Sus scrofa: one gene and its partners. The protein of the gene in region 5 purifies or fractionates together with the protein of the main gene of each other region. This does not show direct contact. Links are inferred from orthologs where the notes say so. Each region holds a gene or a part of one and is shown on either strand. Other genes may lie near its edges.

Region 1 (3,500 bases), on a different chromosome or scaffold from region 5:
ACAGGCTGCAACTACAGCTCCGATTCAACCCCTAGCCTGGGAACCTCCATGTGCCACAAGTGTGGCCCTAAAATGCAAAAAAAAAAGAAAAGAGAAAAGGAATATTGTGGTGCAGTGGGTTAAGAATCCAGTGTTGTCACTGCGAGGCCTGGGTCACTGCCATGGTGCGGGTTCGATCCCTGTCCTGGGAACTTCCACATGATGCAAATGTGGCAAAAAAAAAAAAAAAAAAAAAAAAAAAGATGCAAACTGAACTATTAACATTGGTTTCTTTGTGAAGTGAGTCTGGGATTGTGTGAAAGCAAACTGAACATGTTTTGGTGCTGTTTAAAATTTTTCCAATAAACATGTGTTACGTTGTTAAAAACAGCAAAAAAAAAAAAAGTGTGGGATTGCCACACACCACAGGAGGTAATAAGCCAGGGACAGTTGACCCTCTGACTGACTTTTTCCCTTTTAACCTTCCCGGAAAGCTTGCTGTCGGGTCCCTGCCCTCAGACCTGCTGTAATTCTCCTCGGGGCCCCTCTCCTCGGCGTCGGCCTCGTCAGTCCTGTCGTAGGTCAGGAGGTCTGCGGGCACGTCGTGAATCTGGACGCTGGGTGCGTGGTTCAGCATCTTCAGGTTTTCAAAGATTGTCTGGCGGATCTGGTCCAGATACTGGTTGGGGATGAGGAAGAGTCAGTGAGCAGCTCCCGGGGACCGCAGGACATCCACGCTTCTAGCTGCCTTTCGCCCGTCATGTCCAGAGTTTCAATCCCATGTCGCGTCTGAGTTCGCGTCCCCGGCTGGTAACTGCCCCTCCTCCCAACTCTGCCTTCACTTTAACCCAAGCTGCTGCCCAGCTGCTAACAGCGGAAGGATGGCCGAGAACCTTCCTCTCCGCTCTGGATTTTCTGACTTCCCACCCCCGGGATGACTCCTGGCGCCCCCCACCACCCGGGCTGCTCGGCTTCTCCAAGCTGCTGACCTGGCGTGAGTTCTGATTCTCAATGCGGGTGCTGACGTCTGGATGGAGCGTGAAGTCCGGGGCAAAGTACTCAAAGTATTCTTGGGGGGAAAGGGGATCAGGAGGAGACATTAGGGCTCAGACAGAGACAGGTTCCCGAGACTTCCCAGTCTCTTTCCTTCGTATCCAAAACCCTTACGAAATAGCTACCCGAGCTCTGCTCTGGGCTCGTGTTTAGTCTGCAGAGCTCTGAGAAAGTCCAATTTCCCACCTGCTTTCAGACCAGGCCATTCTGGGGTCTTGCAAGAATGGCCTTCCTGGTGCGGGGGCATCATGGGGTGTCCTTACCACTATAGGGGAGCTCCTCGCTTATGGCCTCTTCCACCAGCAGTGATGTCTCATACGTCCTGAAACACCACCAGGGCAGGGCCGGCTGAGCCAGGGGGCTGAGGGCCCCACCTGCCCATCCCTCGGGAAGCCCCCTGCTCACACTGGACAAGGGGGAGGAGGAAAATCGGGGCCGTGCTCACCAGCAGCGGGCGACGTTCCGGACCGTGTAGCCGCCGCCCCCGAGCACCAGCAGAGGGATGTTGAAGCTCTTGACGTATTCGACGCACTCGCTGTTCAAAGGAACCAGAGGGATGGGTGGGGGGAGTTCCCAAAAGCCCACGGGTTTGCTTCTAGACACTGACTGCAAAGGGCACAGGACACTAGAAACGCTGTATCCTGAGCTAGGGACTGAAAACCACGGAACTCTACCCCCGAGACATGTGCGCTTGATTATACACTTTACACAGAGGTTGTGTCTCAATACAAATGTTCAAAGAGCGCACCCTCCCACCTCTGCCCGGCTCAACACCCACCCAGGCACCCCATGTGGTAGTCGACTGTTCTCACCAACGCGCCAGCCCGTGCTGGCAGTTCCGCCACCGAAATACATCTCAAATCATCTACTTCTCTCCACTGCCACGTCCTCCAGCTCAGCCTCCTGCCTAGACCACACCGCCAGCTTCCTAAGTGGCCTTCCCACGCCCACTCCTGTGCGCCCACCCCAAACCTTTCTCCATGCAGCAGTCAGAGCAGTCGCTTTAAAACACGAGCTGACTGACCAAAAAGGTTGGAGGCGGGTTGGTTCTCTTGTTTTGAAATAATAACTAAGATTGAGTCAAATGATCTTTGACAATACTTAAAATCTGGAGGAAAAGTTCTGAAAAGTACTGAATCCTTTATGTCTTCAAATCTTGTTACAAATGTATACAGAATATATAAAAGAAGAAATCCCTATTGCAATGTTAAAAAAAATAAAAAATAATAAATAAAAAAAAGCACACGCTGGACCGTACCACTTCTCTGCTTAAAACCTTTCGACAGTTTCTCATCATGTCTGAAATATAATCCAGACCCCTCCCAGGGTCTAAACGCTCTGCACAACCCCACTGAGGCCGGCCTGTCGGACCTCAGGTCAGACCGCCTCCAGCGTGCGCGCCCTGTGCCTGCCTGCTGGTCTTCCCTCGCCTCCTCCGCTGCACCGGCCCTTCCCTGGCTCAGACCTCTGCGTGGGCTCGTCTCACTGCTCAGGACAGAGCCCTCTCTGCTCACCCCTTTGGGCGTCCAGGTCTCAGCTCAGATGTCCACTCCTCAGAAAACTCTTTCCAAACCGCATTATCTAAACAAAGTAGGTTCTCCACGGTTATCCCGGGTCTTCGCTTCCTTCTTCCTTCGGGACTGTACAATGATCTAGCTGTTCTGTCTGCTTACGTGTTTGTTGCCAGCTTCCTACGCTCAACCGTGAACTCCACGGGAGTTTCCCCCCTGCATCCCCATCTCCTGGTGCAAGGCCTGGAGCGCAACAGGTACTTAAGAGAGAGCTACCGTGGCTGAATGGCCAGCGGGGGAACACTGCTCAAGGTCATCTTTCTAGTTCAAAGCACAATGTGTAGATATATTTTGAGTCCCAAGAGGCGGTGAAGCCTATGCCCCAACTACCCCCATTCCATGTGTTGAGGCCCAGAGCCATTTGAAGACCTGGGGGGAGGGGAAGGAGGGCAGGTCTCACCCGTGACCTCGAATGCTGAGGTTGAAGCAGCCCAATCGATCACAGCCCAGGGAGTCGGCTCCGCACTGCGAAAAGCAAAAGCAAACCGCAGGGGGCTGCAGTGAGATGCCGGCTCAGAATGTCACAGAGGCCCTCACCGCCCATCCCCCAGCAGCCTGGGGACTCCCGCCTGCCTGCTCTCTGTCCTCAAGGCCAGGGGGCAGCACCGATAGAATTACCTGGAGCACAATGCACGTGGGTTGGTAGAAGTCCACCACCTGGTTGATGACTGGCTGGAAGAGGTGCTTGTAACCTGGGAGAGGGCCAAAGATGGGCGCCTGGCACCCCAAGGGGATGGGGAGACAGGGAACAAGAGGAAAAGGGGCTTCAGAGAGCGTGTAGCCCAGGAACCTCGGCTTCTCCACTTCTGGGAGGCTCCGATGAACTTCTGGAGCAACTGAGGGCAGCTAATGACCCTTTTCCCAGAAAAATGCACATACACACATTACGCTGCACCC
Region 2 (3,500 bases), on a different chromosome or scaffold from region 5:
CCAAACACACAAGCAACCATTTCATTTAGTTTTACTTACATCTGTTTTAGGAGCAGATAAGCAGAACTGAATAAGCCCAATCTTAGCCTTTTCAACTCTGGTTATGCCAGAATTTGCCACTTTCTGAGTAAGAACCAGACCTTCTACCAACTCACAGTCATCGATTGTCCCACTTAAAGAAAAAAAAAAAAAAAAAAAAAAAAGAAGAAGGAAATGAGATAATTAAGAGGGAGGAAATCTGCAAGTTTAGTAGAACACCTTAAAAATCATCAGTAATTTAATTATCAGTGATTAAAATGTGCTTTAGCCTCATTCACATTTCTAGTGCCCATTCCTGAACCACACTGCCCTGCCATCATTAGGAATGTAAATAAATTCTTGAGATTCCCACATTAATACAAATTGCTATGCAAACAAAAACCAAACTTTTGTGACTTTCTAGGTGGTTTCCATTTAACTTATTTTTGCCAACAACCAATATTACTTTCGAAATCGATTTCTATTAATTAAAGCTGTAATGAGAGATACTTACCCAAGTTTCTTAACTATTTTAATATCTCTAAGATCTACACTAGTAGCTGTGGCTGGGTCAATCACTTTCATCACTGCATTTACACTCATTGGAGAAAGGAGACTTGAATACTGAGACACAACCTAGAATTATTAAAAAACAGAATCAGTGTCACAACAGAAAAAGCCCTATTACTTTATAATGATAAAAATATTCGAGAAGTAATCTCAATCACTTTTGGGAGAGCATAAGAGAAAACATTCTATATAAACTGTCTTTTCTATTCAGGTTTGCTGAAACCAGGATACAAAATTAAAAATATATGCTCTCAATTCCCTGGGGGCGGGGAATGGTTAAGAATTCGGTGTTGTCACTGCTGTGGCTCATGTCAGATCTCTGGCTGGGGAATTCCTGCATGCCATGGCCAGAAAAAAAAAGAACAAAGAAAACTTGCATTTCTCTCTTATTAATATGGTACTCAGTACTCAGGACTAACCAGATTACTCATAATCCTATAGAAAATTAGTTTAGTAACATGGTCACTCTTGAGAAATAACATTTATAAACTGTCCAGCATCAATAACCACAGCATAAGATTTGTATGTAATTCTTAATGAACCTTAAATTATAATTTTACTATGATCTTTCAGTGCTGGTCTCACCTTTGAGTTCAACGACGTGGTGGCACTATTCAACAAGGTATCTCTGTCACTAAGTTCCACAGGTCGAGACATGTCAGTCAAGATTTCAATACCCTTTTCCAGAGCCTTCTGGAATGACTCAGAAATGATGGTTGGATGAATCCCTGCCATTTATGAAGGACCACTTATTTAATTGTAACAGACAAATTTCATATTTGACATGACTTAAAATTTCTCTATTCATTAACATTTCAAAGCAGTAAAATTCTCAATTATTTAAAACTATAATTTAGGCTTCAGTTATAAACATAATGGCTTTTATAACCTTAATCACAAATAGTCCTAATAATTTACTTCCATTTAATTTGGTATAGATTAGTTACATACTCATGTGATATTTGAGACTAAAACCAATTTCATACTTTTCAAAACTCTACAAATCTACATAAGTAGAATAATTGACCAGAGAGTCACTACTACGTCTAAAAATTATTTACCAAATCAAGAACCCATATTATATCCCAAATCACAGTTCTCATCTATACCCTAAATTTTATCAAATTCCATTCAAAAGGAGACCTAGAAAAAGAAAACATTTTCTAACTCACATAATACGGTGAAATTTAATCTAAAAATTTCTGATTAAAAATTAGCTGTTCCAAATTAAATTTTAAATCAGATATTACTTAGCAACTTCTTGCCTTTATTCAGTAATATAAAGCATGTTCCAAGTCTTCTTACCTACCTTTCTGAAGAAGCTTCGTACAGGAATCTAAAAGAGAGCCAGCAATGATGACCACCGAAGTGGTGCCATCTCCTGCTTCTATATCCTGAGCCTTCGACAGCTCCACCAGCTAAGTGAACAGAACATCAGGTTGCTCAATCAGAAATATGAAAACTCAGTAAAACCTAATTCAAATATAACTTCAATGACCTTCACATCAGTTTCACATATAAAACTTTATTATCAACACTGTAAGATTCAATATACTTGACTTTTGATTTGCTGTCCACCTTGGTTTCATTTAAAACTGACCTACTAGAGTTCCCATCATGACTCAGCAGAAATGAATCTGACTAGAAGGTTCAGGTTTGATCCCTAGTCTCATTCAGTGGGTTAAGGATCCAGTGTTGTGAGCTATGGTATAGGGCACAGACTCAGCTAGGATCTGGAGTCACTGTGGCTGTGACTTAGGCCATACCTAAGCCCCTAGACTGGGAACTTCCAATGCCAAGGGTGCGGCCCTAAAGAGACAAAAAAACGACAATAAAACTGACCTATATATTTGTGACACACATAATTCTTATATATTTTTTCTCTAAGTAGCTCTATTATGATTTCCATTCCAGACTATAGTTTGTAAATTTTTTCCTTGAGCTAGCTACTCAAAAGGACAATGGATAACTTGCAGACTCAGAAGTTATGAAATGTAACATTCAGAGGAGACTGTCAGTTTGGAATCCTTCCCCAAGCTTATCTAAACTGACCCTGCATTATGCAAATTAAGATTTTTTTTTTTTTGCTTTTTAGGGCCTCATCCACAGCAAATGGAAATTCCCAAGCTAGGGGCTAAAACTAAGCTACAACTACAGCAACAGGTCTGTGACCTACACCAAAGCTCACAGCAACACCAGATCCCTGACTGCCAGGGTTTGAATCCATATCCTCAATGACTTAGTCATTTCTGCTGAGCCATGTGGGAAACTCCAAAAGGGACTTTAACATAAATTTATTTTTTTTTCTTTTCATGTCTTTTTAGGGCCACACCCGGAGCATACAGAAGTTCTAGAGTTCCTGTCGTGGCTCAGTGGTTAACGAATCCGAGTAGGAACCATGAGGTTGCGTGTTCGATCCCTGGACTCGCTCAGTGGGTTAAATAAAATAAATTTATCTTGAAAAAAAAAAAAGTAGTTCCCAGGCTAGGGGTTGAATGGAAGTTGTGTCTGTGACCTATACCACAGTTCACTAGGACACTAGTTGGGTTTATTACCAATGAGCCACAATGGAAACTCCTTAAGAGGAATTTCTAAAGAATATTTGTTTTTGCTGCTACAGTGACTTCTCACTTGACATTGGAATCATCATTATGATCCACAGTTGAATTAAAACCTGTTTTTAGGATTTCGTGTCATGGCTCAGCAGTAATGAAACCAAATAGTAGCCATGAGGATGCAGGTTCCATCCCTGGCCTCGCTCAGTGGGTTAAGGGTCTGGCATTGTCGTGAGCTATGTAGGTCACAGACGCAGCTAGGATCCTGCTTTGCTGTGGTGTAGGCTGGCAGCTATAGCTCAGATTCAACTCCTAGCCTGGGAACTTCCATATGACACTGTGCGGCCCTAAAAAGCA
Region 3 (4,249 bases), on a different chromosome or scaffold from region 5:
TCCCTCTCCAGTGAACCAAGTCACTGCAATCAGATTCTTAATCCACTGCACCAAGCAGGAACTCCTCCTTCGGAGAATTTAAAACAGAATTGGGAGTTCCTGTCGTGGCACAGCAGCAACAAATCCTACTAGGAACCATGAGGTTGCAGGTTCGATCCCTGGCCTTGCTCAGTGGGTTAAGGATCCAGTGTTGCCGTGAGCTGTGGTGTAGGTCGCAGATGTGGCCGGATCACGTGTTGCTGTGGTGTAGGCCAGGGGCTGCAGCTCCAATTGGACCGCTAGCCTGGAAACCTCCATTTGCCACACTTGAGGCCCTAAAAATAAAATAATAATAATTTAAAAAAATTTAAAACAGATTTGAGCTGACTTATGTTTTGAAAGAGAGACGGCTTGGATCAGGGTGTCACATTAAAGACAGAGACTAGTAGCTGAATTTGGAAATGTGGAGGCAGACCTAACAAGACTTGCTGCTGGTTTGAATGTTGACATAAAAGAAAGAGAAATCGGGAGTTCCCGTCGTGGCGCAGTGGTTAACAAATCCGACTAGGAACCATGAGGTTGCGGGTTCAATCCCTGCCCTTGCTCAGCGGGTTAACGATCCGGCGTTGCCGTGAGCTGTGGTGTAGGTTGCAGGCGCGGCTCGGATCCCGCGTTGCTGTGGCTCTGGCATAGGCTGGCGGCTACAGCTCCCATTAGACCCCTAGCCTGGGACCCTCCATATGCCGCGGGAGCGGCCCAAGAAATAACAACAATAACAACAACAACAACAACAAAAAAAGACAAAAGACAAAAAAAAAAAAAAAAAAAGAAAGAAAGAGAAATCAAGAATGGCTCTGAGAGGAGTTCCCGTCTTGGCTCAGAGGTTAACGAACCTGACTAGTATCCATGAGGATTCGGGTTCGATCCCTGGCCCCACTCAGTGGGCTAAGGATCCGGTGTTGCCATGAGCCGTGGTGTAGGTCCCAGATGTGGCTTAGATCTCATGTTGCTGTGGCTGTGGTGTAGGCCAGCAGCTATAGCTCTGATTTGACCCCTAGCCTGGGAACCTCCATATGCCGCAGATGCAGCCCTAAACACACACACACACAAGAGAGAGAGAGAGAATGGCTCTGACGGTAAACTCTAGGCATGGGAAGCTAGGTCAGATTAGGAGGTGTACGCAGTAGCATAGGGATGTGGAGCTAGATAATGACCAAGAAGACTCGGACTTCTGGGATGGGGGTGGGGGGGAAATGAGACCAAAGGAATGGGAAATATGATAGAATTACCTGTGATAATCTTTTAAAAGAAAATTGGGTACCACCTAGACTGGAAGGATGGCAACCACTGAGTGCACGCTCTCCCCTGAAGCTGTGATTTGTGTAGCTACCAAGGAACCAAGCAGAGACCTTTTTTTTTTTTTTTTTTTTGACCACACCCATGGAATGTGGAAGTTCCCAGGCCAAGGTTCGAACCTGTGCCAAAGCAGTGACAATGCTGGGTCCTTTGCCACTAAGCCATCAGAGAACGCCTCAAAGACCTCTTTCAGGGAGTCCCTTTCGGAGTAAGTGGGAACAGAGGCCCCCCCGCGCCCCCCATTCTCCACTCTTGTCTGTACCTGGGGTGCGCCTCCGGTCAATCAGGGAGTCCTTTGGTGTCATTGGCTCATCATCAAAATCAAATTCTGTGGGCATGTGCGGCCTGGGACAGGTGGAGAGAGAGAGGAGGGTGAGGGAGATCCTTCCAAACCTCCACTGGTGCTTCTCCCGGGCCTTCGGGCTCTTCCCCTCCCTCTAACTTCCCATGCTCCTGGGTCCCACCTCCCTCCCTATTTCCTCCTGGCATCAAGGAAGCAATCCTCACTTTTCCTCTTCCTCCTCTTTGGCCTCGGGTTCCTCATCAGATCTTTCCTCTTCACTCTGGGCCTCAGGCGTAGGTGGTCGGCGGGGCAGGATCTCTGCCTGAAGCTCCAGGGTACCGTGGGCAGCCAGCAGTTCATAGAGCCGTTGGATTTCGGAGGGAGGTGGCATCCAGGGCTGCCCATCCTCAGGCAGCTCCACCTCTTCATCGCTGCAGGGCACGCACCAGTCCTCGGAGTCTCCCTGGGCGGGCTCTTCCCCCTCAGTGCTGGGGGCTTCTCCCTGCACTTCCTCGGCCCTGGACCCCTCATGTTCGGCCTCCTCCCGGCCTCCTTCCCCCTCTTCCTCGGCTTTATCGGCCGAAGCAGAGGGGCCTCCGGTGTCCTCCACGGCCAGAGCCTGGAGGCCGGAGGTCACTTCCCCTTCTTCAGACAGAGGCGCCGCCGCGGTGGCTGCCGTGTCTCCATGACCCCGGACAAGGGACATAAGCCACTAGGGAAGGGGCCCAGCGATGCCAGGAGATGCAGGAGTACCAAGCCGGGGATTCCCCCCGCGCCCCCTCCCTCCCTCCACTCCCTCCCAAAAAAAGGGATCACCCCGGGGTTCGGGGACTGTTTCGCTAACCAATCAGGCTCCAACAGCGGTCTCGCGACCAGACCACCGGTTCCCAGGAGGGGGCGCTCAGTCCCCTCCAAGGACCCCGCCCCCCACAGATCGAGATCCGGTACTCCGAGGTTTCCAGCGAGCGGCAGAAACCACTTTCCGGGCCGGAGACGGGCGGACCCGCTCTTCTCGCCTCCGCACTACGCCGCTCTACACCTGGATGCGGCGTCCTCTCCCCACACCTCGAAGGTCCCCCACCTCAGCGGCCGTACGCACCTGGAGCTAAGACCCGCCTCCCGGGCCGCGCAGGGTCAAAGTACGCAGGCGCACAGATACGGCGCGGGAGGCTCCGCTTTAGTCAAAGCTACTTGGGAGAGGAAAGCAAGGGGAGGCTTGCACATGCGCAGGTAGGCGCTCGGGAACGATAGGCTTCGGCCCACAGTAAAGATGGCCACGGGGGTGGCGCATGCGCAAATCACCTAGTAGGTTGTGCCCCAAAGGAGGCTGTACCTCCGGCCCCGCGGCGCAGGCACGTAAGGACCAACTGAGGCTGGAGGCGAGTATCATGCAGTCTCCGTTTATTGGTGTTTCAGACTCATGCAGCATCCGGCATACAAAAAGGGAGAATCAGTTTGATGTATCCTTTTTTTTTTTTTTTTTAAAGACTTTTAGGTTTTTTCCCTACGCTTTTTTTTATATTAAAAAAAACACAAAAAAACCAAAACCAAACCAACTCCGAACCGCGTTGTGGCTCAGACCCTGCCTCCCCAGTGAACTGTCGCGTGCAACAAACCTCTCTCGTCCTCTTAGAAAATAATCGCAGCTCTCTCCGCCCCTTCTTTGCTCCCTGCAGCTGGGAGCTTTGGTCCAATTTTTTCTGTTCTTACAGTTACAAAGCACGTGAATGACTCCAGCCGCGACGCCTTTAACAAACCGACTGGGTTAAAAAGCCCAGGCGGGGCAGGTCAGCTCGGGCCGACCGGGGAGGGTTCGAGAGCCTCGCCCCTCCCTTCTACCAGGTGCTTGTTCGGAACAGTACCCGCCACCCCTGCACAAATCTACAAACGAGGCCCGGCTTGCCAGCTCTGCGACCCCGAGGCACCCCGGGGGTGTCTGGGCCTGGGTAGTCCCTGCAGAGAACAGTCGCGAGCCCGGGCTAGGGAGCCCTCTCCAGACACCGCTCCCCTCCCCCAGCCTGATCTAAGTGCTGGAGTTTTTGCAGAATAAACGGTGGAGGAGGGTGGAGGAGAGGATGCAGAGGGGAGATGAGGAGGCAGGAAGAGGAAGGGGGTGGAGGGTGTGGAGAGGGAAGAGGAGATGAATGAGGAAGGGAAGGAAGAGAGGAGGGGGGGGAGGGGGGGATGCTGAGACAATAAAAAGTTGGGAAATGGAGATCCGGGATGAGGTGCAGGGGACTCGGGAGGGTGTAGTGCAGGAAGGCCGCAAGAGATGCAGGAAGGCTGAGAGCAAAGAGAGTCTGGGAGATGGTCAGGGAGGTTTCCAGAAGTGCAAGGAGGTTTCCAGAAGTGCAGGGAGGTTTCCAGAAGTGCAGGGGTAGGGAAGCCAAGAGGCTGAAGGGGAGGCAGGCAAAAGTGCAGGGAGGTTGGACACAGAGCAGGGAACAGGGAGGCCTACGGTTGGCAGAGGAGCCTGGCAGGATGCAGGAGCAGGAAAGAAGCTGTAAACAAGGCTGCTCAGGCTCCATTGGTCCCTATGGGTGCGGGCCTGGGCCATGGATTGGGCTCCCCCCCAAAGGGGAGGATGGGCCCAAGGCAGCTCCCAACAGGAAAAAAAAGTCTTGGAATGCA
Region 4 (4,173 bases), on a different chromosome or scaffold from region 5:
CTGCAGCTCCAATTCAACCCCTAGCCTGGGAACTTCCATATGCTGTCAGTCAGTGTGGCCCTAAAAAGACAAAAAGAAAAAAGAAAAAACCCACAAAAAGAAAGAAAGAAAAGATGAAAGAGCCACCATGACCTTTCCATAGTAATCTCTAATATCATACTCCTCAGTATTGGAATTCTCTGAGCAATTCAAAAGACGTAGAAGAGACTTTCCAAACCTTATCTGTGTACTCTTATTCACACACTAGAACCTCTTCCATTTAACTATCCTCAGTTTAGGCTCCTTCTCTCCAGTGATATGTCCAATGAATTCTAAAATTTTAAAAGTATAAACCAGGAGTTCCCGTCGTGGCGCAGTGGTTAACGAATCCAACTAGGAACCATGAGGTTGCGGGTTCGATCCCTGCCCTTGCTCAGTGGGTTACAGATCCGGCGTTGCCGTGAGCTGTGGTGTAGTTTGCAGACGAGGCTCGGATCCTGAGTTGCTGTGGCTCTGGAGTAGGCCGGTGGCTACAGCTCCGATTCGACCCCTAGCCTGGGAACCTCCATATGCTGCGGGAGCAGCCCAAGAAATAACAAAAAAAGACAAAAAAAAAAATAATAATAATAATAGAAGGTATAAACCAGAAGGGTCTTTAAAAGACGACCTAATTTTTTTCATTAAACACTAGAGAGGTTTCTGAGGTGACCAGACTCTAACAAGGACCTGGTAGCAGAGATGGGACAACTAATAATTCAATAAATAAACACTCAGTCCCTATAATAAGTCAGGTTCTGGATATATAATACTACCCAATCTCTACCTTTGGGAAGATCATACTCACATGGAAGCACAGAGCATCAGCGTTAAGACCATGGATTCTGGAATCAGATGGACTTGAGTTTAAATCCTGGCTCTGGGAGTTCCCATCGTGGCTCAGTGGTTAACGAATCCAACTAGGAACCATAAGGTTGCGGGTTCGATCCCTGCCCTTGCTCAGTGGGTTAAGTATCTGACATTGCAGTGAGCTGTGGTATAGGTTGCAGACGTGGCTCGGATCCTGCATTGCTGTGGCTCTGGTGTAGGCCAGCGGCTACAGCTCCGATTAGACCCCTAGCCTGGGAACCTCCAGAAGCAGCCCTAGAAGTGGCAAAAAGACCAAAAAAAAAAAAAAAAAAAAAAAAAAAAATCCTGGCTCTACCAATTACCAGTTGAATGACCTCAAATCTATAACGTAAACTCTGTGAAACAACTTCCACATCTGAAAAGAGTTCACAATATAGTGGCACAAATGCCAACAGGTTTATGGTAAAGTATACTAATGTCTACAATTTATTTTGAAATGCAAAAGCAGATTGCTAGATGGATAAAGGAGCAGATATAAGATAAAGCAACAGAGTAAAATGTTACTTGTAGAACTTAGGCACACAGGTATGCACTAAACGAATCTTTCAACTTCTTTGTATGTCTGAAAAGTCATAATAAAATGGAGGAGAGACACTTATTAGAATGGAGGTGACAATTAGACAATGGAAAAGGAGCTGCTAAGTACAGTGCTTGGCAGGTAGAAAGCACTGGACAATGTCAGTTATTTACAGTGACAGGTCTTCAGTGAGCAGAAGCTGGATAAAGAGAATTTTCAGTCACCTTGACCCTATTGCTATATCCTCTCTTGGCAGAGGATGTTCAAAAAAGTAACCAGAGGCTTCTCTTTGGCCTTTGCTATTAGCACAATGAGGCCAGAAGGAACCAGTCTTAAACTCCAATTTTATAGCTGCTAAGCCACGGCAGAGGCCAAGGGCATGGGGCTGCCGTGAGAGCAGAGACTACTTATTGGGGGCTGTACCAGCTCAGGGGGCGCGGGCTCAGGAGTCAGAACACACGGGTATAAACTCCAGCGTTACCATCGCTAAACTGGGCGGCAAGTGGATTGGTGACGTGCCCGCTCCCACGCTGAACAGTTTCGTGAGTATAACGCAGGAGAGCCGACTCGGCACCTTCATCATTTACTAACAGCGGACTTAACGGAATGGTCAGAAAGGAGGCTGGCGGGGCGGGAGAGCGGATCGCGGGCCCTGGAACTCCCGCGCTCTCAGCCCGATCCCTTCCCGACTCTGAAGCCCCCAGAGCTTCCCTCTGACCGCACAAATCCCGACCCGTGCCAGGGCCCTCGGAGCCCACCTACGTCTAACGGTCCTTCTGCTCCCCGGCGTCAACGTTTGTCATCCGAAATGCAAGCCCCCGGAGTACAGGGACCTGGCCCGTCTCCTCCCCGCTCATCCCCTGGCCGCGCCGACCGCGCAGGGCAGGGTCGCTCAAGACTCGCCGGCCAGAGACAAGGCCGCCAGGACCGTCCTGCCTGGGGACGCCCCCGCCTCGGCCCGCCCTCCGGGCCCGCCTCAGCCCCTCGGCCCCGCCTCAGTGTCCACCTCAGCGCCCAACTCAGCCCTTCAGCCCCCGCCTCAGCGCCCCCGCCCCCAGCCCACTGCCACACCTCACGCGCGTTCTCCTGGCCCACGAGCCCCGAGGCCGCCTGCTTGGCCAGACCATTCTCGTCTAGCCCTAGCCCCTTCACGTGGCTGTGGGAGGCAATGCGCTGCGTCTTGGTCGTGCTCTTCACCTCCTCGATCTTCATCCTGCACACCTGAGCGCGAACACCCGCGGAGCCTTGAGAGCTCACACCGGGTGCCCAGTAACCACGCGGCCGTTACCAGGCGGTTGGCCCAGGTCCGCCTCGGTCGGCGCTCCATTGGCCGCGGCGGGAACGCCTTCACCTCCCACTGGCTCTTGGCCGTGCCCTTCGCAGCTGCCGGGGAGGCTCCGCCCACCCACTTCCGGCTGTGTCCCAGGGTTTGTGTCCCCGCGGAGAGCGCTTCCTCCCTGGGTGGGAAGAGAGGGGTGCTGCACAAAACCCGGGCCGAATCCTGCCCTTTACCGTACTGCCATTGGTGATGGCAGCCAAACACATACCCTTATGCAGAGCCCAAGTTCCACCTCGGTGTTGGAGATGAAAAAACAGGTTTAGATCTTAAGCTTGTGTTCACTAGGCAGTTTGCTGACCTCCAAGCCTTTCCTCCCCTGGGGAAGCAGTGCTGAGCATCCTCTGTGCAACTGTCCTCTGCTTCTCCTCGCCACCTCTCTTTACTTAAATTAAGTTGGCTGTGAGTGGCGTTTTATGTCCCCAAAACTCTACTACCCTGTAAGATACTGTAACTCCTAATACAGATAAAGATGTGGCTAAATTAGGCCCAGTAACTTGCCCAAGAACACACAGCACATAATCAGCAGAGCTGGAACTCCAGCTGAGGACTTAAGGCTTTGCAGCCTGTGTAACCCTCATCCCAGCCCATGACCTCAGATGAGACAATCATCTAGCAGCCTGTCATGTCTGGTTCCATGATGATATTGACACTCGCCCTTTGGATGTGCTCCATTGGCCACACAGTCATTCAACAAACATTTGTTAGCACCTGCTGTGAGCCAGACAAGAGAATGCACTGGGATGCAGATATCAAAACAAAATCTCCAGCCTTGACAAGCTCAGATCTTAGGTGGGAAACTTACAACATGAGGAATGCAAGCCCAAGCAGGGCCACGTGGAACAGGTGGAGAGCCAAGGAAGGCACCATGAGATGATAATGTCCAGACCTAACCCTGAGAGAAGGGTAACACCCTCAGGAGTAGATGGTATGTCACCATTTTACAAATGAGTGAACTCAGGTCCAGAGAAAGGAAGGAACTTGCCCAGAGCTCAGAGAAGCTTGCATTAGGCTTGAGACAGACCTGAAGCCAAATCCAGCTGCAGTAGTTCTGGATTCTCAAATCTCCTTGAACTTCTCCATGGTAACATTTGAATCTAGTTTCCTAATTATTTGCAAATTATCGGGTCAATATTAGTCTCTCCCTCTAAACTGCAGGCATTACGAAAATGTAGACCACATCTGCGTTGCACATCATTTTAACCCCAGTGTCAGGCACATGGTCTGGCTCACAATTAAGTCTCCTTATAAATTCAGTACAGTTCTAGACCTCCACATACACACACAGTCATGCAGTTTTGCTGCACGTATTTTACATATTAGATTTTATGGGATGTGGTTATGGTTTCTGTCAGTAAATAGAAACTTTTGGCCCCCAACTCCCCTTCTGCCAGAGCTGTTACATTTTTTTTTCTTTTTGTTTATTCTTATATAT
Region 5 (3,500 bases):
GCTGAATGTTCCAACGGCAACCCCGAAAAGGCGCCACGGAAGTCAGGGGGGTGGCGAGACAGAGTCGCCCACATGGGGACAGAATCTTGGCTCTTGGCTCAGACGATCGGCCGACTCTCGGGGGCGACACCAGCAGACAGATGAGCAGGTGAGACAGACGGCAGGAGGCTTCAGCTGACTACTGACATGGGGGGCAGAGGGGGTGTCCAGGCAAGAGGACAGCAGCTGGACTAAAGCAGGCAGAGGCCAGCAGACAAGCCACTGACCCAGAGGGTTCTAATCCAGGCCCGTCCATCAAAGGCTGACCGTAGGAGCCGCGGCACTGCCCCGACACCTGCCTGCAGACAGGGAGGCGGCTGCATGACAAGGACACACACTGCACTCCTTTCCACAACACGAGGGTTACACACAGCACCCACCACCCAGCCGGGAGCCTGCGGGCAAGAGGTGGACAGGCTGGAGATGAGCGGTGCTGGACCACGGCTGTCTGGCATGGGCAAGGGCGCTGGGAAACATGTTTTTGTAAAACACCAAACCACCCCAGAGGGCAGAGGCCAGCTGCTGGCAGGTGCCTCTGAGGGGGGGGAGTCGGGAGACTCTGAACTGCTACCTGCTACATTGCTTGCCTTTTTTTTCCAAGTCAGCACACATAACTTTCCTAAGAAACAAGACTTTAAGGGAGTTCCCGTCGTGGCGCAGTGGTTAACGAATCCGACTAGGAACCATGAGGTTGCGGGTTCGGTCCCTGCCCTTGCTCAGTGGGTTAACGATCCGGCGTTGCCGTGAGCTGTGGTGTAGGTTGCAGACGCGGCTCGGATCCCGTGTTGCTGTGGCTCTGGCGTAGGCCAGTGGCTACAGCTCCGATTCCACCCCTAGCCTGGGAACCTCCCTATGCCGCGGGAGCGGCCCAAAGAAATAGCAAAAAAAAAAAAAAGAAAAAGAAACAAGACTTTAAAAATCCTACCACCATTTAAGCAAACGTCCCATTCCTGACCACAAACCATAACACAGACAACTTTCAACCACCAGCCGTCGCTCCAACTACTTCCCGGTTACTTCCTGTGTCATCGTTTGCGCGGCCTGTTTGGAGGGCTGCACCCCACCGTGGAGGAGAGAGGAGCAGGGGGCCCCAGAGCCCATCACCCAGGGCTCCCTCTCCACAGCAACCGCCTCCCTAGGAGCCCCAGGCACTGGCTGTGACACCGACGGCGAGGGCTGGGCCTGAGGGCCAGCACCGGGCCAGCGACTTCAAACAGCCAGTGTCTGTGCCCTGAAGGCTCGGGGCTCTGCGGACGGTCTCGGCTGGACAAAGGCCTTCCAGGGCTGAACACGTAAAACTGCTCGCCTGCACAATGTCAGGACCTCCAAAGGACCAACTGCTCGGTGACATCAAACAAGCTGTTTACACGTGACTCCTTCCACCTCTCCAACGTAAACTTGGCTAAAAAACCACTTCAGGCTCTCTGCTCACAAAGAAATACTTTGGCTTTTTTTTTTTTTTTGGCTGCGCCCACAAAGTAGTTGGGTGGCACACAGACGTTCCCAGGCCAGGCATCGAACATGCACCACAGCAGCGACCACACCAGGTCCTTTACTGCCGGGCCACCAAGGTACACCCTACCTCAGCTGTTTTGCAACCGAGCAATTCAGACAGGTGTGCAGGTCAACCCCTGCACCTGCACTGAGCGGTCCGGGAGCGGCAGGCCCCGGGACCCTCCGCTCAACAGCGGCACCGCCACGGCCACAGCTCCCTCGGGAGGCCCCTCTCCAGGCCGGCCGCCCGGCCCGTGCTGTGAGGCTCCGCGGCACCCCCCACCCCCGGGCCCGGGCCCAGCTCGGACGCTCGCCCGGCGCCGCCGTTGGGGACTCACGGCTGAGACGGGATCCGAGTGCGCGGGCAGCGTCTTGAGGCACTTCCCTGTCTTCACGTCCCAAATCCTCACGCTCTCGTCGAACTGAAGACGAAGGAAGAGGTGACAGCGGGGCCCCGGGAGGGCAGAGACCAGACCCCTGGGAGGCCCGCGCCCCCGGCCCCGCCAGCCGCCCCGCAGAGCCGGCCACTTACGGAGCCCGAGACGATGAGGTTGGACTGGGGGTTGAAGTTACAGCAGAAGACGTAATTACTGTGTCCCTTGAGGGTCTTCAGACACTTCCCCTGAAAGCGAGTGCCGTCGGCCTAAGTCCTTCCCGGCGTTACCTGCCCGACACCGGCCTCAGGCTGAAGCCGGCAGCACCCCCGCCACCCCCGCAGCTGGAACGGAGGGAGACCCCGCCGCTCACCGAGCTCACGTCCCATATCTTTAGGGTCTTGTCATCTGAGGCAGAAACGAGAAGGTTAGAGTCTGACGACCAGGCCACGTCTGATATTCCCTGGGGGCGGAAACACACAACGGGGCTGAGCCAGCAAGAGCTACATGCCGGACACGCAACTAAAGACCCCCGGCAGGTGGCCCCGCCTGGAGCCCCTCGGCTCCCGCTGGCCCCCGGCCTGGGCCTAGAGCCTGCCCTCCGTGGCGCCGCCAGGCCTCGCCGGCGGGCAGGCCGAAGAAACAAGAGGCAAAAAAAAAATAAACAGGAGGCCAAAATCGGGGGTGGGGGGGGGCTGAGCTCTTAACCGGACAAGCCCGCAGAAGGGCCCCCACTCCGCCCAAGAGTGACCGCAGGGTACAAGGCTGACACCTACCAGCTTGTGACCAGATATGGTTTTCTCAAATTTTCCGTCGTAAGCTCCCCAAATCTTAATGAGTTTATCTGCAGCTGAAAGAAAGGGAGACACAGCAGTGGCGGCCTCCGGCCCTGGGAAGCCAGCCCTCGGCTGCCCGGGCTCCCCGCCGCCTCCAGACCGGACACCTACACGAACTCGCCAGCCACTCCCCGTTCGGGCTGAACTTCACCGAGGACACAGCTTTCGTGTGGCCGGCCAGGGTGAACTTCAGCGCGTAGTTGGGTTTAACAGGTGTGGGCTGTGAAAGGGAGCGGAGCAGTCAGCCAACAGCAGCCAGCGCTGCCCAACCCCGCCGGCGACGGGCGGGGTGCGACCGGGGTCCCAGGGCCTCTTTGCCAGCTCGCCCTATCGTTTGACGGTGCCCCTAGAACTCCCACCTGTCCCCGTGTCCCCTTTCAAACACGCCTACATCTGAACGCGTTCTCCCCTGGCAGACCCTGCCTGTCCTGCAGCCCCTGCCGCAGACGCCCCGCCACCCGGGCTCAAATCCTGCAGCCCCTCCAGGCAGCGGTCCCCCACCCGCCCCTGAGGACTTGCCCCCTGGGGTCTGCAGGGGGGCTCTGCCCTGCAGCCGGGGGGGGGGCTGTTCACCAAGGGACAATTTCTGGGCCCCACAGACTCTTACAGCGAGACCAAGGATCTATATTGTGGATCAAGCCCCCTCCCCAGGGGGCAGGTTGGGGATCCTGGACGTGCCACAAAGTACGCACTGGCTGGGAATGTGGTTTTGAGTGAAACGGGTGATGTTTTAGGAGGGAGAAAAGACTTATGGGCT
Region 6 (4,091 bases), on a different chromosome or scaffold from region 5:
CTCCAACCTTGATTCTTTTCTGTAAAAACGGGATTAGATGGTGCATACTGAACAGTTTAATCCAGGTAGCCTTTGAAACAGTGGGAGAACACAGGAAACACTTCACTGTTTATACTGAAAGTACCTTCTGTGGAGGTAGCAATATACAGAACTTCCCTACCTGCCCCAGTCCATGACAGTGCTCTGGATGTAGTGCTGCTGTCACAAACAGCAAGTGCAGCGACAAATTGAGATGATCAAATTTAACCTAAAAAACATCACCTTGTCCAGTTCCAAGCTCCTACTGAAGTTTTAAAATCTTTAATAGTTCATCTCATAGCATTAAAAAATATATATATGCTTTAGCCTTCGAGGTTTGTTGATCTACAAAATTAACATTTTAATTTCAAGGTAAGAAACGTGCTTATTAAGTTATTGCTGGATAAGATAGTTATTCAAAACAAAAGTTGTTCCCATCATAATCAAGTGAATTTAATACACAACTAGTTTGGGATATGACCTTTATTGAGCTTATCCACCGAAGTGGAAATAATGTCTGTACAAAACCAAATGTTTGTTACTATAACTTCTGCATCACAATTAAAATCCAAACAGTTTTTTAAAAACAGTCAACTCAATCAAAACCCACTACTTCAGAATCAATAGCTTCTTTGAAGCCACAGTAACACTTAAATATGGTTAAGACTCGAATGCAGAAATTTGGTTGGTTGGAAAGCTAATTAAACTTCCAACTTGCTCAAATAGAATTACAAAAAGGCAAAATTGTGTTTTTCACAGAGATACAGTCCATTGGAATCACCAACACTGGACAGCTGTTAGAGTATTTAGAGTCCTGAGATAATAAGGAATCCAGGCATCCTTTAGACAGTCTTCTGTTGTCCTTTCTTCCCAATGAGAGATTTGTGGATGTGTGGAATGACACCTAGGGGAGGAAAGGGATACTTTTAAATATACATTATTTTGAAAATTAACACAGGACTTCAAAACCATGACAGTTTAACGTTCAACTTCGAAGAAGTCTTTAAATGTGAGGCCAGAGTATGCAGAAGTAAAAATTCACTAAGTTATATACAGGAATCAATTTTCATGATGCAACCATACTACAGATCACTGAAAATAACACTAAGTGTCCTCTTCTAGTGGGGGAAAAAAGTAAAGAATTATCTAAAGAAATTAAAAAATTTTTAGTATTTACATACCACCACCAGCGATTGTAGCCTTGATGAGAGAATCCAATTCTTCATCTCCACGAATAGCAAGTTGCAAGTGACGAGGAGTAATACGCTTTACCTTCAAGTCTTTTGATGCATTTCCTGCCAATTCAAGTACCTAGAAGACAGAATCTAATCAATCTCCTGCCAACTTTCCTTAGGATCAAGATCCAGAAGAATCAAACCTTCGTGAACGTGTATCTACCAACTGCCGTCTCCCCCCACTACCTGAATGGCAAGATATGCAAAAGCTATAAAGGGGACACGCAATTTTATTTCCTAAAGCAGTCAACTCAAGCTCAGGAGGAACCCAAAATGAACACCAGCCCCCTCTAGCGTTGTCAGAAGCTTCTCACCGCGTTCAGAGCCTGGGAGTTTTCTTGCATCACTTTCCTCCTTCCCTCTCACCGCCTCCCCCCACCACCTTTTCCAGATTACAGGCGTACACCCATTTACCTCTGCGGTGAGGTACTCCAGGATGGCTGCGCTGTACACAGCGGCAGTCGCGCCCACACGTCCATGGCTGGTCGTCCTAGATTTCAGGTGTCGATGAATACGGCCCACCGGAAACTTCATTTTTCGCATACACAAACACAAATGCACAAAGATAGAGGAGCCAAAAATGGTCAAATTATACGCGCGCCAAAGCAAGGGGCACGGAGGCTGATGCAGCAACGCGCCCTAGCATCGCCACACGTGATCGCCCCCCCTTCCCCAATATTTATTGTATCGGTAAACCAAGTCCCGACACCATCACCACGCAAAGACCAAAAGCTCATCTAGTGCAATGATAAACAGAGAAAAAGGAGAGAAAAACGCCGCGATTCCCAGACAGCAGAAACCCCCACTGACCTGCAAACCGGCTCTCTGCGAGCGGGAAACCGCCTTTGTCTTGGCCTTTCCGGAGTCCTTCCCAGCCTTACCGCCAGCCTGCGGCGCGCACACGCCCGCGAGCGAAGAAGGAACGCAGAATACAGGATTACCAAGGCGGCGCGCCCCTCCCCCACCGCGGGGCGGCCCGGGCGCGAGCGGGGCCCGGTGCCCAGCCGGGGTCTCCGGCCCGCCGCGCGCCGCAAGGGCGACCCCGCCCGCCTGCCCCCCGCTGCGCGCCCGCCGCGGCCGCGCGCTTCAGGCCGCCCGCTCACCGCCCTCCGGCTCCCAGCGGCGCTGCGCGCGCCACCCAACCGTCGCCGCCCGCCGCGAGATCGGAGGCTGCTCCGCTCGCCGCCGACAAAACACCTCCCCCCGCTCTTCCACATCCTCTCTCCGCGCGTTCCCAACCGTCACCGCTTCACCCCCATCTCCGTGTGTAACGGGTTTTTCTCCTGCCGGCAAAAACCCGCGTAGTCTTCGAGCGCCTCCGCGAAGTTTACCATTTCGAATTCTGCTGAAGCTCAAACAAGCAAGGCAGAGAAAGGACTAGTCAGTCACCAAGCGAGATCCCGCCGCCTACTCCTCCGTCGCACCGCGATTCAAACTGCGCTGTCTCCCGCCTTCCCCGCTCCCTTTATACTGCAGAATGTTCCCTCATCCGGGAACTCGGATTGCTCATCCCACCAATGGCTGCCACCCGCCCTCGGGCCGCGTCCTTGAAGTCTCAGCCAATGAGCAAGCGAAGAAAAGGGCGGAGGGGCGGGCGCTTTGCAGCTCGAGCTGTTATTGGGGCATGAGAAGGAGGTGGGGGAGAACGGAGGGATGGGAACCCGGGAGAAGAAGGGCACAGCGGCGGGAGGGAAGAAACAGAGCGAGCTACGCTGCTTGAGCAGGGCACCCGCCGGCTTAGTCACGTGCCTGGAGGGAGGAGCTGAGAGGCTCAGGGGAGGGGCACGCAGTAGCTGCCCCCTATTCCACCTTTGCCTCCTTGCTCGGTTCCAGAGACCTCGGAAAGCGGGGACTAGCACTCCCTCCTTCCTGCCCTGCCCTCCCTCCGCCTCCGCCCCGTTAGAACACCTGGCGGGCAGAGACCCGCCTGTCCGCAGCCTTCTTCCGGAGCACGGGGTACCTTCACCGACCCCCCTGCATTCCCGTTGACACCTCCGGTCTGACAGGTGGCGCGAAGGCGTCCAGTGAAAGGCGCCCCGACTCCTTCGCTAACCATAGTCTGGGTAGTGATTTCGCGTTTGTTCCTCCTAGGCAAGTGCCCAGCCACCGATTCATCACGACCCTCTGCTCCCACTTTTTCAGCTGTATCTCCTTCCTCTTCTTTTCTCAGGACTTTTTGAACCCCCTACCTCCCCAACCCCAACAGAACAGTTTCATGGAAAAGACGGTGAAGCAAAGTCACCTCGCTGGTCATAAAAGACCTTTTGGTCTACCCACTGAAGGCTTGGGCTGAGGCGGTATTCTTTAATCAAATCATATTTTTCTAAAGACTACACGTCTGTGGGTTGTACCTATAGCCTGGCTTCTAAAGTTGATTTAGTGAAACATGAAGGCTATTATGTGTCAACTCTTCTATGCTAAACATTTTGCTACTTGACAAATGTTCGGTAAATGTCCTCATATGATTCACAGGCAGTTACAGATGGTCCATGTAATCAAATGCAAATGATGGGCTTAAAAAAATAGTACTGTACACACAGTACTATCATAATGCCAGCTACTTAATTTTCCAACTAATAGATTAATAGCACCTCTGTACACGTCCAGCTGCTTGGAGACAGTAGTGATCCAAATCTTTCATACTTGGAGTTTTAACAGTAATTACGTTATAAACATAATTCAGTATTTCTGACATTAAGAAAATTTGAAATATATACTCTTTAGTACTGTAGTTTGGGTTTCAATCTGAAAGTTTTATCAAGTTTTTTTGGAAATTTGCTGTTAATTTTAAAATTAAAAAATTGGGAGTTCCTGTTGTGGCTTGGCGCTAAAGAACCC
Region 7 (3,500 bases), on a different chromosome or scaffold from region 5:
ATGTACCCCCAGTGGACACTCAGTGTTCTTCAAACTCCTGCAGATTTTTCTAAGTTTTTACCTTCTCTTGTCCCTTCACCAGTTTTAGCTTTACTATTGTTTTTTTCTGAAGGAAGTTTTGAACATTCTGCATCTTTATCTTTTGTTTGTCTTTCATCTTTCACTTTTTGTACATCTTCACTCCTTTTTGAGTGATCCAATTTCTTCTCAGTCTTCTCCTTCTTTTCTTTCTTTCTTTCTCCCTTTTCACTGCTGTCTGCTTTCTTTTCACCTTTGTCTGTTGATTTATTTTTTGGGTCACTGCTTTCTTGCTGAACATCTTTATTTAGCAGAACTGAACTATTGCTCTCTTTAGTGTGATTTTTACTTTCTTCAACTGGACCTGGGAGATCATTAAGTTCTTCTGACTTCAGGGCTGTCTCCTGTCCTTCCCCTGCAGAGTCAGGTGTAGGTTTTTCTTTTTCAGTCGCATCCTCTGAAGTTCTCTCCTTCTCGGCACCAGTGTCAGTGCTTGGCTGAGATGGGAGTTTTTTGGATGTTCTCTCACAGGCCTTGGCATTTGACGTTTCTGTTGAAGCCCTGGCAGCGCTAGCTTCTTGGTTAAGAGAGGTGATGGTCTCCAAGATTGACATGGCGTCACTGGCCACGTTTGCACTGGGCCCAGGGGCAGGGACACCTTCAAGGGAAAGACACAGTCTAAAATAAATTTATGCTGAAGGTAAACCCCTCTGCTGAATCAAGGCCACTCACCACTGGCATCCTTATACGACACATATGCCTTTAGACTTTCAGGTGCTGGTATTGGAACCTAACACATTCTCCATTCTCTACTTCTCTAATACAGTATCTTAGGAAAGGCACCATGCAAATGTGAGAATAATTCCCAGAAAAAGAGTGTTTTCTCTAATTATTTTAATTATCCCTTCTACTGAAACACACACACATGTACCCCTACTACATTGCTAAAATGCCTATTATTTAAAAAAAAGAAATATTATGTCTGCTCAGGAATTTGGGTGATAATTAAAGTAAATACGATTTCACTAGAGTGACCAAGTAGATGATTTAAAGAACTAAACACCCCTAACTTGATACTCAGTTCAAGAAGAAAAGCAATGGAACTGACCAAGAGCAAAAGCAAAGCACCTTGTGTAATGACGGAAGAGTCTGGTTTCTCATCATCAGGTGCTGTGCTGCCACCTGTTTCCTCTTTGTGATTTAGCGTGGCCAGAAACTCATGCACTGCTTTCTCCACCTGAGGTCTGAAGGTGTGGTTGATCTTTGGATCCACAACCTGAGAAATAATTCGGTCAATACCAGACTCCAACATTCCTGATCTGAAACACAGGATAATTTACAGAAAGGTAAAAAAATTATTCTATACTACTTGTATTATTACTTTTAAGTAAAGCTGAATCTATTACACGGATGTTCAACATTAAGTTGCCTCCAATCCATTCATTTGGAAATCCACAAAGAACACCCAATGGAAAGTAAGTTTCAGGAGTTCCTGTTGTGGCTCAGTAAAACCAGACTAGTATCCTGAATGAGGATGCAGGTTTGATCCCTGGCCTTACTCAGAGAGTTAAGGATCTGGCGTTGCTGTGAGCTGTGTGGTGTAGGTCACAGATGCGGCTCGGATCTGGCACTGCTATGGCTGTGGAGTAGGCCAGCGGCTACAGCTCCAGTTTGATCCCTAGCCTGGAAACCTCTGTATGCCATAGGTGTGACCCTAAAAAGACAAAAAAAAAAAAAAAAAAAAAAAAAGTCATACTACAGTGGCATTTAATATACCACAGTGCCAAAAAAACATGTAAACTTCTCACCACCATGTCACTAGTGGAAATACTAAAGCAGACAAAACAGAAACAAAACAGCCTTAGAATTAGACATAGCACACTATCTAAAGGCCAGGCTTATACATGATGCTTACCTTACTTCAATTCTGCCCATGGTAGATGGGATTAAAGTCACTAAAGCTGAGTTCTGAGTATAAAACAAATCTATGGACTTCCCCCTCCCCACTTTCTTTAAGCAGAAAAATGTAAGCCTTTTATGAGTATTAGGGTCTCCAGGAAAACAGAATATAAAGCTTCCAAAAAAAGAAAAAAAAAAAAAAAGAAAACTTTAGAGGAACAAAAATAAAACTTATGACTTCTGGTGTTCTTTTTATTACCTGCTTGCTATAAAAATAAATGACTTATTCCTCAGCAATTATGTTATGAGTGCCTTCTATACAGCAGGCACCATTCTAGCCTCAGCTGCTACAAAACAGACCTGGTCCCTGTTCTGGTGGGAAAGACACAATTAAAATGCAAGACAACAGGAACTAGGACACACCATACACTGTTGGAAAAGAGTAGAATGAGGAATTAAAAGCTATGTCTGAAGTAATTTGGAATGCTTCACAAAGAAGACATTTAACTTGCATCTTGATTTCCAGAGAAAAGAAGGAGAAGAAAGTGCCCAAGGAAATATATTTAAGAGGCAGATGACCAAGTATAAAACGCACAAGAAATCACAAAGGCGTCTGAACAAAATAAGAGGACATGAATTTAAGAAATGCACTTTAACCCTGTTTCTTTCTAGCAAAGAACTTGAGGAGCCACAGATCCCTGGGCAGTGCTGGGAGGGTTGGGTGCTGGTCCTTTTCAGCTTCAAGGCCTCCGGCTCCCTGGAGAATGAGGGAGGTGTCTCTCCTTACACCTCACAATGCTATTTCTGAGAGCAGCTCTGTCTGGAGTGGAGGATGGGTGTGGTTTTTGTTTCCTGAAGCATACTGCAGCCCTGGGATACTGTAGGTTATGTGGGCCATAGAGAAAAATGAGTCAACACTGCACAAAGTAGGTAACCTCCTTTCTAAAGTTCTAAGATTAAAAAAAAAAAGCAAATCCTGTAAGCATTGCTACATCTTAGAGGTACCTTTAAAAAGTAGCGGGTGGAAAAGAAGCAAGGACAAGCAATCTGAAAAATGTTCTGAATTAAGGCTTAATTAAGCACAAAGGCACAAAATAAAAAAATAAACATCCACCTCCGAAACACTGCTTCGGTCTCTTTTCTTGATGCGTATGTTCTGGGCCCTTGTGTACTTCAGTCCACTCTTAACAGTGGTCAGCTCTGATCTTAAAAGTGAAGGCTGTGGTGCAACGGGATCAGTGGCATTTCTGCAACGCCAGGACACAGGTCCGATCCCTGGCCCAGCACAGTGGGTTAAAGGACCTAGTGCTGACATAGCTGCAGTGTAGGTTGCAATTGCGGCTCGTATCTGATCCCTGGCTGGTTAGCTCCATGTGCTGTGGGGTGGCCAAAAAAGAAAGGAAAAAAAAAAAAAAACCCTCAAAAAACAGAGGCTTGCAACTAGAGACTATCATACTAAGTGCAGAAAGTCAGAAAGACAAAAACAAGTACCGTACGATATCACATACGTGAGGACTAAAATATGGCACAAATGAACCTATGTACAAAACAGAAACAGACTCACAGACATAGACAACAGACTT

The links.
Region 1: the proteins of WDR5 (region 5) and HDAC3 purify together in Homo sapiens (affinity purification with western blotting; 3 studies listed by BioGRID). This does not show direct contact. The link is inferred for Sus scrofa from reciprocal best matches to the Homo sapiens genes WDR5 and HDAC3.
Region 2: the proteins of WDR5 (region 5) and CCT4 purify together in Homo sapiens (affinity purification with mass spectrometry; 3 studies listed by BioGRID and IntAct, with this or other methods). This does not show direct contact. The link is inferred for Sus scrofa from reciprocal best matches to the Homo sapiens genes WDR5 and CCT4.
Region 3: the proteins of WDR5 (region 5) and PAGR1 purify together in Homo sapiens (affinity purification with mass spectrometry; 5 studies listed by BioGRID and IntAct, with this or other methods). This does not show direct contact. The link is inferred for Sus scrofa from reciprocal best matches to the Homo sapiens genes WDR5 and PAGR1.
Region 4: the proteins of WDR5 (region 5) and RUVBL1 purify together in Homo sapiens (affinity purification with mass spectrometry; 3 studies listed by BioGRID and IntAct, with this or other methods). This does not show direct contact. The link is inferred for Sus scrofa from reciprocal best matches to the Homo sapiens genes WDR5 and RUVBL1.
Region 6: the proteins of WDR5 (region 5) and H2AFZ purify together in Homo sapiens (affinity purification with mass spectrometry; 3 studies listed by BioGRID and IntAct, with this or other methods). This does not show direct contact. The link is inferred for Sus scrofa from reciprocal best matches to the Homo sapiens genes WDR5 and H2AZ1.
Region 7: the proteins of WDR5 (region 5) and BOD1L1 purify together in Homo sapiens (affinity purification with mass spectrometry; 4 studies listed by BioGRID and IntAct, counting the BioPlex papers as one, with this or other methods). This does not show direct contact. The link is inferred for Sus scrofa from reciprocal best matches to the Homo sapiens genes WDR5 and BOD1L1.

Annotation. Positions count from the first base shown.
Region 1 is NC_010444.4:143,277,422-143,280,921, forward strand, and holds part of HDAC3 (histone deacetylase 3), read right to left. Parts: intron 3,296-3,500; coding exon 3,222-3,295; intron 3,069-3,221; coding exon 3,004-3,068; intron 2,673-3,003; coding exon 2,547-2,672; intron 1,568-2,546; coding exon 1,478-1,567; intron 1,355-1,477; coding exon 1,296-1,354; intron 1,049-1,295; coding exon 969-1,048; intron 659-968; coding exon 501-658; intron 1-500. UniProt on the Homo sapiens protein: Histone deacetylase that catalyzes the deacetylation of lysine residues on the N-terminal part of the core histones (H2A, H2B, H3 and H4), and some other non-histone substrates.
Region 2 is NC_010445.4:79,930,838-79,934,337, reverse strand, and holds part of CCT4 (T-complex protein 1 subunit delta), read right to left. Parts: intron 2,007-3,500; coding exon 1,898-2,006; intron 1,317-1,897; coding exon 1,174-1,316; intron 655-1,173; coding exon 533-654; intron 173-532; coding exon 40-172; intron 1-39. UniProt on the Homo sapiens protein: Component of the chaperonin-containing T-complex (TRiC), a molecular chaperone complex that assists the folding of actin, tubulin and other proteins upon ATP hydrolysis.
Region 3 is NC_010445.4:18,051,230-18,055,478, reverse strand, and holds the start of PAGR1 (PAXIP1-associated glutamate-rich protein 1), read right to left. Parts: upstream 2,801-4,249; 5' UTR 2,325-2,800; coding exon 1,843-2,324; intron 1,681-1,842; coding exon 1,598-1,680; intron 1-1,597. UniProt on the Homo sapiens protein: Its association with the histone methyltransferase MLL2/MLL3 complex is suggesting a role in epigenetic transcriptional activation. However, in association with PAXIP1/PTIP is proposed to function at least in part independently of the MLL2/MLL3 complex.
Region 4 is NC_010455.5:72,199,008-72,203,180, reverse strand, and holds the start of RUVBL1 (ruvB-like 1), read right to left. Parts: upstream 2,801-4,173; 5' UTR 2,615-2,800; coding exon 2,474-2,614; intron 1-2,473. UniProt on the Homo sapiens protein: Possesses single-stranded DNA-stimulated ATPase and ATP-dependent DNA helicase (3' to 5') activity; hexamerization is thought to be critical for ATP hydrolysis and adjacent subunits in the ring-like structure contribute to the ATPase activity.
Region 5 is NC_010443.5:273,563,279-273,566,778, reverse strand, and holds part of WDR5 (WD repeat-containing protein 5), read right to left. Parts: intron 2,964-3,500; coding exon 2,855-2,963; intron 2,758-2,854; coding exon 2,684-2,757; intron 2,371-2,683; coding exon 2,281-2,370; intron 2,156-2,280; coding exon 2,066-2,155; intron 1,956-2,065; coding exon 1,872-1,955; intron 1-1,871.
Region 6 is NC_010450.4:120,562,433-120,566,523, reverse strand, and holds H2AFZ (histone H2A.Z), read right to left. Parts: upstream 2,773-4,091; 5' UTR 2,588-2,772; coding exon 2,585-2,587; intron 2,142-2,584; coding exon 2,064-2,141; intron 1,782-2,063; coding exon 1,668-1,781; intron 1,330-1,667; coding exon 1,200-1,329; intron 923-1,199; coding exon 861-922; 3' UTR 501-860; downstream 1-500. UniProt on the Homo sapiens protein: Variant histone H2A which replaces conventional H2A in a subset of nucleosomes. Nucleosomes wrap and compact DNA into chromatin, limiting DNA accessibility to the cellular machineries which require DNA as a template.
Region 7 is NC_010450.4:9,240,923-9,244,422, forward strand, and holds part of BOD1L1 (biorientation of chromosomes in cell division protein 1-like 1), read right to left. Parts: intron 1,338-3,500; coding exon 1,147-1,337; intron 677-1,146; coding exon 62-676; intron 1-61. UniProt on the Homo sapiens protein: Component of the fork protection machinery required to protect stalled/damaged replication forks from uncontrolled DNA2-dependent resection.